Linked DNA regions of Lepisosteus oculatus. The protein of the gene in region 2 interacts with the protein of the main gene of each other region in a pairwise test. Links are inferred from orthologs where the notes say so. Each region holds a gene or a part of one and is shown on either strand. Other genes may lie near its edges.

Region 1 (7,263 bases), on a different chromosome or scaffold from region 2:
CTGAATAATTCAGTATTGATGCTTCTGGTGATGTTTATCCAAAGGATATATAAATATAAATAGAGGTTTTCTTTATACATTGGGTTCAACTCTGCATATTGACATTTTCTGAAATACTTAAAAAGTAGTGAATAATTTAAAAATGATGAAGATGAGGACAGAATAAATATAAAATGCTCTAGAAGGGCCAATAGTCAATTACCCAGCACAGACCATTAGTAGTCAACCTTTAAAACTAACAACTCCAAGCAAGCACGTATACAAAGACATGGATACTCAAAGGATGTTTCTACTTGCCCAGTGCCACCGGATCACTGCTCAGGCCTGGCGTGGCTACAATGATCTGGTCCAAGGACTCCCTGTTGTTTAACATCTTAAACACCTGCATAAGGGGAAAAACAATCAGCTTCCAAAAGGATGACACAATGGGCATATGTTTACATAGCTATTTGTGAGGCAGTGCATCAAGTCCATAGATGATCAAAAGAATGATTGGTAGTAATCATTAACATAAGGTAAACTAATTCTGTTAAAATATTAAGAAAGCCATTTTAGAACATCAATATCCAACACTGAGCAGATAGTTATTGGTGAAATCGTTAAGCCAGCCTTCACAGACCAGTCTTAAGACAAACTAAGCCTCAAGGATAAATATGACATAAAATAAACAGGGAGGAGACACATCCCAGAAGAGAGGGGAAGGAAGACTAGAAGTGATTAGGCCATTAGAACATTTGTCCTCCTTAAAACAGATTACGAAACTAGAATCTTCACAGTGCTGATCTCAGCACTTGAAGGGTACTATACTCTTAAATAATAATACTGAAAATATTGATATCCTTCATTGTGAATCCACAGCCTAAAGCACATCCCTCATTTGTTAGTGATGTGTTATTCTGAACAAGGAAATAAGATTCCCATTTCCTTAGCTTCCAATCTAAACAAAATGAGTCCTTCCAGAATCCTTATTTATTAGAATACAGGTTCTCTCTCTGCCCATTTTAAAGTGTTTTGACCTCATGTAGAAAACTGTCTATAGAAGGCAGAACTTGGATGACACACAGTAGTGAACATACCTGTATATAGCCAAAAAATGTATATTATATATTTGTTTAACTATCTTTATAAATATTTGTGTTGCCAAACTATGCCTGAGCAGCCAAAATCACACATTCTATGTACCACTGGTATTCCCTGGCTATAAGGAGTGTAAGTATGGTCATTGCGAAATACTTCGGAGTTATCTGAGGGACTTTGTGCTTTGCTTCAACACCTGAGAGAAACTTAAGGAAATATTATTTGTTGCCCCCTCTGAATCTGTTACTTCTGTTCAGAATCAAACAGAAGTGACAGATATAAAAGTCACTGAGCAGAACATCATTTCACAATGCAAGTAATGCAATGCTGGGGGGCTGTTTTCACTTTTCGTAAGTAAAGCATCTTTTGTCTTCCAAACACAACACCTCCTTTTTAAACTATGAAACATTTTGCTTGTTTGTTGAAACTTCTAGTATGAGGCAAAGTTTCTCAGTGCAGTCTCACCGAGTCTCTATAAGCAGTACTGGTATGTAGAGCTGCCTGAAGCACACGGAACTCCCTGGCAGCAGCTGTTCTGTCCACAGGCTCTGAAAAGGAATTGTACAGCACAATGGAAAACTCTGTGATGTCACAATATAAAGCCAGCCGTGAGACGGTTCGTAAATTCCATAGCCATTCATTTCTGAATTTTAAAAAAAGAAGGCTTCAGTTCAAAGAAGTCATTTAATTTCTGCTTGTAATTTTGTCATAAACTTCAGTGCCCTCTAAACTGGCTTAATTTATTTTGTTCCCCAGCAGGACTTCAATATTGTATTAGCATGAACATAAATCAAGATTTGATACTTTTTTCAAAAGACAGAACAGTGATTAAAAAGCCAAACAATGCTGTGCATAAGCAATTTCAAAGAAAGTACAGCAATTTCGCTCCACACTAAATTACTGAAACAGACACCACGTACTTAGCACTAAATGGTTCTGTGTAGAGAGAGTGGACTGGCTCATACACACCTGGCTTGACTTCTGGTTCTGGCCACGATTTCTTTAAAATGTGGACAGTTGATCCTGGCTGAATCCCATAAAATTCCAATGTCTGCTCATCTTTCAACTTTCTGCCACAAAATACCAGTTCTGAAATATAAACGCATACGTTTGAATTGGAGAGACAATCCTGTGTTCTAGCTGATTTCCAAACGTTGCACCAACACGCTGTAAAAATAATGTACTTTATAATCCCCTGCCTCTTGATTGATAGAAGGTTATATCAAAAAGTGTGCAACGTCAACTTGGGCTACCAGAATCCAGCGGGTTTTCTATGACTATATATCATCAATAGCTGATGGCTTTTGAAAAATGTTATCCCGCCCCCACCAAACGGAGTTATGTACCACTGAATTAATGTGAAAGGAACATCTCTTGAAAGCCAGTTTTTACTGACCTATAAACTCCGGATCAGGTACTAAATCTGGCAAATGGGCTGCTACCAGCTGCTTCAGTGTGGCGATACGATATCCTCCCGGTGCCACATCTCCCGGTTCCGTTTCGGGAAACTGCAGAACCGACTTGGGGACCGAGGGCTGGTCCATCAGTTTCAGTGAAATGCGCCACTCTGGAACTGCCATAGTCATCTGAAGGAGGCAAAAATATAAACAGCATACATTGAGTAGAGTAATAAAGAAAAATTATGCATATTACATGTTTTAAACTCAACTGGATCAGATTTATCGATTAATAACACTGGTTGTTTTTAACATTCGAGATTACGACTGAACATAAAAAGACTATTATACCGTATCTGACTATGTAACTAGCTATGACTTAAAAACTGAATTTCATGAATTCAGAAAAGTTTTTTTTAAAATAGAAGTATAATGTTAAATGAACACATAATTAAAAAATAACAAAAAAAGAGAAAGAGCGATGTTTACACTTATGCTCTGTCACCTGGAAACGGAAAAAGTTCTCGATGATTTCTGGGATTTGTAGTTTTTTCCCTCTGCACACGCCACTCTGTTATTTATAGAATTAAGAGGAAAAACTCTGCTGCTAATAGAGGTGCTAGTGATTTTGACTGAACAGTGCCTTCGACTTCACATTTTGATCAAATGTAAGCATATGGATCAAAAGAACTCCACTTGCATCCAAACAAAAACGGTATTAAAAACGCTAAATGTTTTACCAATTTCTACCATAAATTTATAACGTCTTCCTGAAAGACTGGTTAGACTTTATTCAATATATAATATTAATAACGTAGTGATACAATATTCGATATACTACATAGTTTGTCATTTTAAATGTCTGCTAGGTAATGTTTTTGAAATAAAAACCACATACCAAAACTGCGGAATTCCTTTAACTTAATTTTTACCAATACACCGCTCAGACCTGACTAAGAAATTGATAAATTAACGTAAAATGTCCGAATTCATTAGTTCGTATTCTAGTGTAATTTTTGGGGGAACTCCATTACCCAGAGACCTTTGCTGTCTCTTGGGCGGAGAAAAGGAGAAATGGCTCTGTATAGAAGAGGAGGTGGAAGGTGTTGCGCTGTGTCAGGGTGCACTAATAACCAGAGGAAACTCAGCATCTGGCGGCGGGACATTTGTGAGCTCCATTCCCCTTTGCAACACAATGCGTGCTCGTGTCTTGAGCCTTTCTCTTTTTATTATTTCCCCCGTGATAAGGAGAAGCAGCAGGCATGGTTGGGAGCAATCGGCAGAAAAGACTTTCTGCCAGGCAAGGGGACAGTCGTTTGCTCGATGCACTTTGTAAAGGGCTCGCCAACCGCCGAGCATCCAGTGCCAGTGCTAAACATGGGGTCCTCCGAAAACGAAGACCTGACGGAAAGCAAGAGTGGTGGGGATGAGAGACCGGCTAGGAAAAGAGTTTACAAGGCACTGCTGGAGGACACGGGCGGCGGCCCCCCCACGGGGTCTGCAAAGAAACTTGAAATAGACGGGCGATACCCCCAAGGCTCCTGGGAGCAGGCCACTGTTGAAGCCATCATGCAGTTACGCAACTTCGATAGCCCCAGCAGCTCCCTTGTGGCGCAGACGACCATCGCGAACCTGAAGGATGAAAACGATTTCCTCCGTGCTCAAAACAGCAGTCTTAAGGCGGAGCTGAAGTCAACCCAAGAGGGACTGGAGGCGGAAGTGAGAGCAGTCAAGGAGGAGCTGGAGACGGTTAAAGGGGCTTGCCGGTGCAGGGTTGAATCCAGGACAGCGAAGCCCGCTACGGCGGAAGCTGTGCCGGAGCTAGAAGGTGTAACTGTAACTGTAACTAAAGACGAGTTGGATGGTATCGCTGTCTCAAACGAGGAGGAGGTCCCTGCTAGAGGAGATACTGCTGCGTGCATCCCTCTTGAAATTGGCACTGTAATCCTAACTCGGACACTCTAAAATTCTGCTTTGTTTTATTGTGTAATTATTTGTTACGGATTTTTATTTTGCAGTCGGAAGGAGCATCTAGACAACCGTAGCAGTATACTATATACTGAGTTTCTGGAGTTCTCAACTGTATTTCCTCTATGTCTTAATGCCATATTTACAGAAGGTTCCCCAATTAACTTTTGGTTTAGGAAGAGGTATGTTAGACACTGGAAATGTGTACGGATCACGGAGAAATCTGCCACGGTGTCTTTAAGGATTTTTCATCGTGTGTGTGTGTTTTTTTTCCAGGACTTAAAATGGTATGAATCATACCTCAGTGATATATTTGTGGATATGATTACCATAATCACCTTTGTTTTACAGTTACGATCTATTTATTTTAAGCTTCTCTGCCAAGGAGAAGTCTTTATTTTTTTTTTGTTTTGGTAAACATAACAGATTTGGGAGAAAAAAAAGTTTCTTGATATTTTAAAAGAACAAGCAGTTTATTGTTTTCTTTTAACACCGTGTCAAAAATAATTTTCGTGTAAAAATAAAGGCCTTTTTTTGTCCTCACAGATCTCTGTTCTAGTCTTTGTGATTGTAGGATAGGCTGTTGTCAAAGCCTACGTACTGCAGAGCTGAATATGGGAAAGGAAGCAGAGATAACTCCTAAGTGGTGTGGCCTTTTTACAATGGATGGGTTTGCATCACATTCTTACAGCTTCCAAAGAGGAAAACATTCCCAAAAAACATTTACTTGGTGTGATATTGTACACAGTATTTGCAAAACATTTACAAAGTGCTACATGCTGAAATGTTTTACAATAACCATGTTATTGTTGGAATAAAGGTGTTTTTTATTGGAAAAAATGCATCTTTTAGTCCCATAGGTTTATACCTCTCAATCCGCACACGAGGAAAAGTAGAGCATTATGCAACAGGCTTCTGTTTAAAGGGGAACAGTTACAGTAACTACTGTATTTAAAGAGTTATGAAGCTCTATGTGAATGGTTATGAAGCTATGATTTGCTGTATAATGTATGCATGTAAAAAATAGAAAATGGTTATCATCTTTCTAAGAGTATTGTTTATTCAAGTTTGGTAATGACAAATAAGTCTTCTAATTAAAACTAGTGGCTGGTTAAAAGAACATAAGAAATGTTACTTTCGGAAGAATGGCATCTCCAGTTTGCATCTGCCCCAAGGTTAGAGCTTTGGTAGTAGCTTTTGATCTAAGGATCTCATCTGTCTGTGTCGGGAAAGATGCCAGTGTCTCAGCTTCAGGCCCAGGGCTGGGGTAGATTTTTAAATACCCCTCACAGCCTGGGTACAGTGCTTCCTGTTCTAATTTCTAAATGCACTTCTACATAGGCCAGCAGCCATATCACCCTGCAACTCACAACTGGAAACCCACTGAAGCTATGCAGGTGTAAGCCTGGTCAGTACCTGGATGGGAGACCTCCTGGGAAAAACTAAGGTTGCTGCTGTAAGAGGTGTTAGTGGGGCCAGCAGGGGGTGCTCACCCTCTGGTCCATGTGGGTCCTAATGCCAAAGTATGGTGAGGGGGACACTATACTGTAAACAGGCGCCATCCTTCGGATGAGACGTAAAACCGAGGTCCTGACTCTCTGTGGTCATTAAAAATCCCAGGGCATTTCTCGAAAAGAGTAGGGATGTAACCCCGGCATCCTGGCCAAATTTCCCATTGGCCTTTACCAATCATGGCCTCCTAATAATCCCCATCTATGAATTGGCTTCATTACTCTGCTCTCCTCCCCACTGATAGCTGATGTGAGGTGAGAGCTCTGGCGCACTATGGCTGCCATTGCATCATCCAGGTGGGGCTGCACATCGGTGGCGGTGGAGGGGAGTCACCATTACCTGTAAAGCGCTTTGAGTGGAGTGTCCAGAAAAGCGCTATATAAGTGTAAGCAATTATTATTATTATTATTAAAGTGGACTTTCTTTACTGAACTTAAAGCTGTTGCTCACCATTGCACTTTGGTCAAACATTTTGCTCTATCCAGCATACTGGACCATTTCAAAGAACAGTGGAGAGGCACGAATGGGCTCTAAACCACTCCTTAACAATATGTTGTCGTCCACGTCTAACATCAATCTCCCCAACATATGGAAATTGGTAGGGTAGCAGAAATTCTTTGGCATTGTTTCTGTGTTTAAAATGACAAATGCGCTTTTAAAACTGAACACTTGCATCATATTTTAGGTTTTAGCAAGTGGAAAGTTAAGATAGATCTGTTAATGCGCTTAATGATACATGACCACAGAGGGTGAGTCAACTCCTGAACTGTCTGTACAGGGCAGACAGCCTTTTAACTTCCAGAACTCATTCACTTTCAACAGGAGACCAGAGAAGACACCTATCCTATCAGCCAAAGACTTTGCTCGTTCTTCCACTGCAATGTTTTTCATTATGTAGTCAGTGCTTATGTCAAAAAAATTAACAATCATTAATAGATATGGGCTTGCCACCAAAAGATCCGTCTCTCCCCCATGATTCCAAATTGGATGAAGTGATTGGATAATAGATAAGGATTAATTTGTATAGCAAACCAAATTATGTCATTACATATTGGGGTGGTATTTAGTGCTCCTGCCTTATAAATTCAAGGGCATGTGTTTGATTCTGGAGTTTGACACCATGTGGTATTCTTTCTGTGATCCTGTGGGTGTTTGCCATGTACTGTACTCCGGTTCTTCCTAAAGTTGTGTAGAGTAGGTTTGATTGGCTAATATAAATCAGAATATGAGTTTATTTCTAATTAAGATCATATGTTTTTTTAAAGCAAAGCATTTGTTTAAGGAATCTTCATTCTCTTTCCATTATTTT
Region 2 (7,658 bases):
TGTACTGCTGTGCAGTGGGACGGAAGGGACAAAAGCAGGCTTACTGTATCCTCAAACAAGCCAGGAATAATAATAATCGCTTACACTTATATAGTGCTTTTCTGGATACTCCACTCAAAGCGCTTTACAGGTAATGGGGACTCCCCTCCACCACCATCAATGTGCAGCCCCACCTGGATGATGTGACGGCAGCCATAGTCCGCCAGAACGCTCCCCACACATCAGCTAGTTCTTCACAACTTGAGAGCCAGCCGACATCTTAACAAAGCATCAGGCTTCAATGTAAACCGTTTTCAATGTAAAGCTACGTCCTTGCAAGCTTTACAATATCAATCGATATTGCATTTGGTCGGCCCAGTTTTTGCAAATCAACAAGTTTCAAACGCCAGCATCAACCAATTAAGTAAGACAGGCGAGTTGGGGGAGAGACCAGGATTCTGGAAAGAGAGAGCCTGTTGTGTGTGGACTGCTCTCCTTGGGATGACTAAACAAGCAGCATCTGAGAAAGAGAAACATGATTTCCATCATGTCGTGGTCCAATACTTTACTTTTCAATTAGGCTATGGAACACGTACAAACTCCTTCATATGGATCCGTCCAGAGGCACTGTTCCATCATCTCAACTTTGATCCCAGCTGTGATAAAGTGCTGGGAATGCCCTCCCTCCTCAGGTTGAGAAAAAGGAATATCAATGTTATGGGAATAACATTAGTCTAGTTACCAAATAACCAAGACCCCGGTTAACTGTACACCTTTTTTCTCTACTGCCACCGAGACTCAACTGAACAATAATAGTGTGTTTTCCGTCCACTACAAGTCATTACACCAACGAATGGAGAAGCGTCCCATCACAGGACACTCGCACCATAAGCAACCTCTCTTCATTGCTCCACGTTGAATCCCACGCAGCACTAAAACAAGTGGGCGACTCCCACTCACAGAGTCTCTAGTGTTGTATTGACAGAGCAATGAATTAATTATCTCAAGTGTTTTGTTGACAATTATGAATTAATGACGCTCGTCGGAGTTGCACAGGCAGCTACAATGAAAACAAGGGAGGCGACAAAACGATGTAAGGAGAGATCAGGGTTTCAATGCAGGTATAACACTGAAACATGACACAGTTCTGTATAGAAGCTAACATTTTATAAAATCCGTCGACTTACCGTTTTGAAAATACATCACATACAGAAGTTCAAAACAGGGAGGACACGACAGCCCCAGGAAAACAATCAACTAGCAACATTGCTGAGTTTCGTTCAAAGAACAACCATCACACCAACAGAACCCTATATTGAGGTCCTGCTGGGGCTGCTAACCTTGCTACGATTAAAATAGAGAGAGATTTGCAATACCTGTGATACCTACAATTAACTTTGAAGGGGTTGGTCTGTTTGCGCCTGGACATATTATCCCCTTCTCCCGGCTGAAAAAAACTCGAATCCCCACCTAGACCCGACAGATTTGAAGATTTCCTCGAACAAAAAAATATATATGTTTTCCTTAAAAAAAAAACGCTCCCCTTTTTAGGGAGCAAGACTTCAACGGAGTGAAAATGAAATTTAAAAAATAACCCCCAAGCGAAAACAAATATCTACCCGGGTAGCGATAAAGAATACATTGGTAGATAGTCGGGGGACAATTTTTTAAATGAAGAAAATCGTTTCAATAAAAAAGACGCGTTCTTTTTTCTGAAAAAAATGAGAATCACATATTCCTTTGATAAGACGCCGTATAATTTGTTTTCTACGGTTTGGCCATCTACACACTTAAAAAAAAACGTTTTGAATGAGGTAAAATCCAGCCCCTGGTTGGGATGTTCTTCGCCGATCAGCCCCGAATTGCCCCGAATCTGTGTCGCTGTCGCTCTGCCAGAGCACTGCAGAGACGCACCGCCGACACTCACTCCGTACCTAGACGTCACCCACGCGCAAGGAATTATGGGATGTGCCGTGGAGCTCTTGGAGGACAAATGGTGGTCGTTGGTTGTGCCGTGTAGAAGTAGCGGGTTAGGTCGTGTTTCCCCATCTGTTCCTTGCAACTTGGATTTGAGTTCATCTGGATCAGTGATCGTTTGTATACTGAAGCAGAATTATTCCTTAAGGGATACATACATATGTGGAACATGATCCTTTTTTCCCCAGAAATGTGTACGGGTAATATGTTGCGAAGGCGTTACTCATAGTCAAATACTTCTGACTGTAACGGGTTCGGTGAAATAGACATCGTGGTATACCTTTAGTAGAGGGGATCCCCTACGTCTACTGGCTTTCGTTCCCGACGATATATTTTACTTGGATACTGTATTGAACTAACAAGTTCCCTGGTTACTTTGCAAGTTGTTCAACTTAAAAGTGGGAGACTCCGGGTCACCAAATGAAACGTAATAGTTAAAACAGCCGAGGGCGAATATTCCCACCCAAAGAACCCTGTTTTTCAGAATGTGAACTCACACCAGTTTCTTAAAGCAAAAAAAAAAGTAATTTGTGTAGAAGCCTGGTTTATTCTTAATGTTCAAAACCGTCTTGTCTCGTTCGTAGCACCAACACTGTTCTTTAGACGAAAATGTTTCAGATGTAAATAAAAAAGTATTATGTTCCAATATACTGCTTGTTACCGCGACACAGATCCTTCCAGTTGTAACTGCTTTATTCAATACAGGGGCGCGGGGGCAGGATACACGCTGGATGGGATGGCAGTGGATTGGAGGAGAATATACAAGCTCCAGAGATAGCATCCCACACCCAGAACTGGAACCCAGAGCACAAAGCTGCCAGGCAGCAACGCGAACCACGGCGCCACCGTGCCACTCGCAACAGCGATCTGTTCGCCGCCAACTTCAATGTCCAGCCTTACTCTTCTTCGGCACATCTGCCACCACAAGGGGGAGTACAGAGTACAGATTCACATTTATCTGCATAGCGCTGTGATTTCCCTTCGGTTTGAGTTCTCTATGTCAACAGCAGCACTGTGATTAACATATACATAAATCTACAGCTACATTTTTTAAAATTGCAAGCAGTTGATAGAATATGCCTTGTTATTCATCCTTGCATTATCCAAGTGGATGCTGCACATTGGTGGTGGTGGAGGGGAGTCCCCATTACCTTTAAAGCGCTTTGAGTGGAGTATCCAGAAAAGCGCTATATAAGTGTAAGCAATTATTAGAATTATTATTATTGTTGTTGTTGTTAGCGATATTATAGTACCTGTTGATTTTCTGTCAATTACAAGAGAAATAGACTATTATCTTTCCTTTACGTAGAAACGATGCCCGTTAGTTGTCTTGAGGAGTAATACAGATTGAGTGGAGAATAGTAAGATTACGTATCGATCTTGCCTGATCAAGCAAAATGTGTGTACTGCTTAAATGGTTGGATTGCGGGGGGTCAGTTTTAAAACACACTGAAATTTAATAAAAATATAAAACATTGCTACAGTTTGCACTATTTAAGTTACGAAAGCATAATTCTTATTATACAAATGGAGCAAGATCATGTCTGTACGGTCCAGGAGAGCGCTTGCAATGTTAAGTGGAATACTGAAATTTAATATACGTTATTGTAATATACTTGCATTTTGCTGTTATATCTGCGAATATTATATAATACTGTGCGAACATCTGACTATGATGTTCCTTATATACAAAAATGAGAAAGGTGTTTTTCTTTTTTACATCAGCTAGCTACACACAGTGGGTACATTTCGAGACTCTCGCCGAGTAGGAATGCACCTCGACAGAACCGCAGCCAGCATTCCCAAGAATAGCTTGGGACGTACAATTTCCAAATCTGTGTGTAAATCCTGACATCACATTGGAATTCGGTCATTTCTGTAGAGGCAGTTCCTCCTTTGCCAAAGAGCCTCCCTTCACTAGTGACACGACATAGATCATGACGTCATCACTGACTGCCACGAGGTGAAGTCCGGACCGCAGCACTACTCCTACTCCTGTGCTGCAACCTTTACTTATAACTCCTCCGCTTTACCTACACATAAAGAAAATAGATATGTGGGCATGCTTTCGGCCTCGCTTTCTTATTAACCAAAGATTATGAATTGCAGTGTTGACCAAAATGTATCTCTGTCCTAAGATTTCAGTGGGATTTTTTGCATGGTGACATAGTTAAAAGCATATAACTTATAAAGGTTATTAAAACCTTTTTATTTCTTTTTGCGGATTGGTTAACGTGATAACTCAAGTATTACACAGTTTTATTTCCTGAGAATAGCCTTATTATGAATAGAAAACACTGGCTGAACTTTAGAAATTTACTGTCAAATTAATAGTATAACAGTCAACTTTCACGTTTCCCAAGCATAAGGAAAACACGAACCTAATTTCTGAAAATCTTGTAGCTAACTGACATAGCAGTATAATACATCTCACTTAGGGTATGATTGACATTTATCTGTATTTATCGGTATTGCACATTTATGAACGCTTGGTATTGCCTGCCTCAAGTCAGCTGAAGCCAGTCGAAGGAATATACCCTGCCCTCGGACGCCATGTTGGCTCTACGTCCTGTGAGTTTAAATGGGAGATATGTACTCTCCTTGAGAGCCCGAATGGCGTCTTGTTCGCGAACTTGAGGCTTATATGAGATATTATTCAATGTAACCATCCGCCTGCGGTAGGTGCTGAGGCCGGGAGAGCCGCCATTTTGAATGTCAGGTTTGTTCCTCCCTCCGTCGCAAAGACAGAAGATTCCAGTTTCTTTCTGGTGTCATTACGGCCGGTGAGTATCGCCTACCTGAACACGGGACACCTTAATATTAAATTAGACTTGGAAAATATATGTGCCGCAGCCTCGTCTGACACCGATTTCGTAATGTGGTAAATAACGTCTGATATTTTAGGGGGGTTGCACCGGGGGTTGTCGGTCACGGGAAGAGTGCTGACATTTTTTTCTTAGATTTGCGATGTTTCTGGGGTTAGGGTGTGTTTGTTAAATTCTGAAGGTAATATGCGATGTGCAATTAGTATTGTATGCGAAACGGGTCGTTTAAGGTGAAGTGGGAAGCACCGCCGTTGTTGAAAATCGATGCCGCGAAGAGGCCTATTTTAGCAGGCGAGCGGTGGAGAAAAGCAGGCTCCCTCCCTTATGATTAAGGCCAAGCCCGGACAGGCCTAGCAGGCTATCCGTGTAGTGACTGGACACAAGGAAATGAGGACTTGCGCTCTTACCACAAGAAATAAATGAAACATGTATATCTAATTTATTAGGGCCGCAGTGGAGTCGCACTGCATTCTAATTTGGATATGGCACACTTAGGGAAGTTGGCTCCAAATAGGAGATATTTCCTCAAATCTTCATGGTTAAGTTTCGCTGTGTGTAAAGTATCTGTGTGGCACCTGCAGCAAGCCCTGCTATTTTGGGTTTTCGAAGTCTATTGTACAGGTGAACAGATGGACTTAAGCGGTTGGTACTTATAGTACTGCCGACGCCGTCTATATCGAGCATTAAAGGCGTAAGTATATTCAAATTAAGACAGTAACCCTAACGTGTTTCTAAAAAATGTTGCATTCTAAAATGTACAGTTTAAGGTAGCTTGACAGTTTAACAGGTGTTACAGCTGTATAGTAAGACGATTCACTGGCAATTGGTAAATATATAGATGTGTTGCATCGGTCCTGTGCCATTCGGGACATTTTGATGGCAAGTAGCTACTTGATTTGAGGAACTCTAGCTGTTTCTTGAAGGAGGCAAAGGTGTTGGCTTTGACGATGTTACAGACTCCTGCAACCTTTTGTGTAAAGCAGTGCCTTCTCTTCTCAAGATTTAAGCGTTGGCTTTTCATGTGTCCTCTGATGATGTCCTCTATATCCGATGTTGTAAAGCAGATCTATTAATACGCTTTCAAGTATTTAACAGATCTATTCAAGTATTTTACAGCAGAAAAGACTCGAGTCTAATGTGTACAGCTTATACGTTTGTGGAGTTTCAGGGGTTATTTAATGTAAGTATGTATTGGGTCTACTAATGTACTGTTCTAAAATAATATCTCACTAATGTACTCTACTAAAATTTCCATTATAGGGCAACTGAGATGCTGTAGGTTGGTGAGCAGATTTTATTTCTGCTTGGATATGATCAATTAACAGGAGAGAAAAGCCCAAGAGAGTCATAGCAAAAACTCTGTCATGGTCGTATAAATGCTGAGTGTGGTTCTTTTGATTGCAATTGAATATGTTCAATTGTGATTTTGTCAATACCAGAAGAAGTAAAGGTTTGGTCTTTTGTGTTGGTGCTTTCCTGGGATGTTGAGAATGTGAAAATTCCATCCTAAAGTCATTTCATTTTGTGTTTTGATCTTACAGCAACATGACTCCTGTAAGAATAGTTTGTGCTAAACTTTATCAGTACAGGCAAGCAATTCTAGGGGTAGGATTAAATGAAACAAGGAAGCGGTTTGTCAAATTTCATTGGGTGCCACACATGCCCTTAGAAATACCGAGCAATAGGGCATCTTGCTATTCAATGGAAAGTCATTTTCTATATTTTAATTACCGTTATTCTGAGGAATTGCATTTTGTTTTTTTTTGTAGAATATAGGAGCTCACAGAATTAACTTATTTAAGGCAGGGAACAAATTAATCATTTTACTTCAGCAGCACTCGAGTTCTTATTTTCCTTTTAATGGTTAACTGATAGCTATGAATTTAGGTAGACGTGTTAGTCATTGATCGGCTAATCACAGGCCTGTGTACGCTTTTAGGAAAGAGTTCTGTGTATATTGGACCTTACAGTGTTGGACTTTACATTGAGACAAGGGGAGACTTTAAAACAGTTGATGTTTTAATTGAATGTAAAATTAAATAACTAAATAAATCTGAATAACTGATGTTTGGGGGCTGCTAGTAAAGATTTGTTTTTATTACATTTTGTTAAAACTTATCTATTTAAAGGGCCTTGTACACTGGATGACCAGGGAGTGGGTTCTGTGGTTAATGCACACCAGTAGTAAAGCAAATCATGAGAAGAACACTGATTATAAAAAGAAGAACTGACAGACTGTAGTGACATGACCAAAAGACTCTTCAACAGAAATTGCAAAAAAAGAGTAGATGTACATCATACTTTGAGAAGAAGACAACATGTTTGGAAAACACCACCAGACTGTTTAAATGCTTACGTTCACCTTAAGACGCATGACAGATGTTTCTGAAAACTTGTATCACTAAACAACTAATTACAGAAAAACTGTTGAACTAGGTGAAAGATTAAATACTTAAGATAATATTTTTGTAGTTTGAGAAAGTATCTTGTGATTATTTCATAGTGAGATGCAGTGTATTCACTTAGTTCTTTTATACTACTCGCTTTGCAGTGTTAAGCAGGTTTACTTTCTGTCTTATTTGCATGGCCTGAATTCCAGCCCTTCAGTAATTTCCCTTATGTTTACTGTTGTAGTAAAAATAAGGAAATTTGCTGAGGGGCTGGATTTTTAATGTCTTTCTGGAATAGGCTGTTTGTAATCTACTGCAGCTGCGTTTTTCAGCCCAGATTCAGTAGGTTTCGGCTAAATTGGAAGAAATCCTCAGCAGAATGATAAAGCTGAATGATAGTGTGGATTAGCAGGCTAACCTAAGTCTAAGCACTGTATATTCCCTTCAATACAAAGTATTCACAGACTCTTAATATATTTGTCCTACT

What was found.
Region 1: the proteins of ap1g1 (region 2) and ubiquitin-like protein 7 interact in binary tests that used the Homo sapiens proteins (3 or more experiments, as listed by UniProt). The two-hybrid records come from large-scale screens. The link is inferred for Lepisosteus oculatus from reciprocal best matches to the Homo sapiens genes AP1G1 and UBL7.

The regions. Positions count from the first base shown.
Region 1 is NC_090700.1:51,652,717-51,659,979, reverse strand, and holds the start of ubiquitin-like protein 7, read right to left. Parts: upstream 3,012-7,263; 5' UTR 2,964-3,011; intron 2,908-2,963; exon of another isoform or gene 2,826-2,907; intron 2,664-2,825; coding exon 2,474-2,663; intron 2,167-2,473; coding exon 2,047-2,166; intron 1,626-2,046; coding exon 1,543-1,625; intron 383-1,542; coding exon 298-382; intron 1-297.
Region 2 is NC_090715.1:9,930,981-9,938,638, forward strand, and holds the start of ap1g1 (AP-1 complex subunit gamma-1), read left to right. Parts: upstream 1-4,639; 5' UTR 4,640-4,739; intron 4,740-7,658. Other genes in the region: znf821 (zinc finger protein 821), read right to left, coding at 1,369-1,408. UniProt on the Homo sapiens protein: Subunit of clathrin-associated adaptor protein complex 1 that plays a role in protein sorting in the late-Golgi/trans-Golgi network (TGN) and/or endosomes.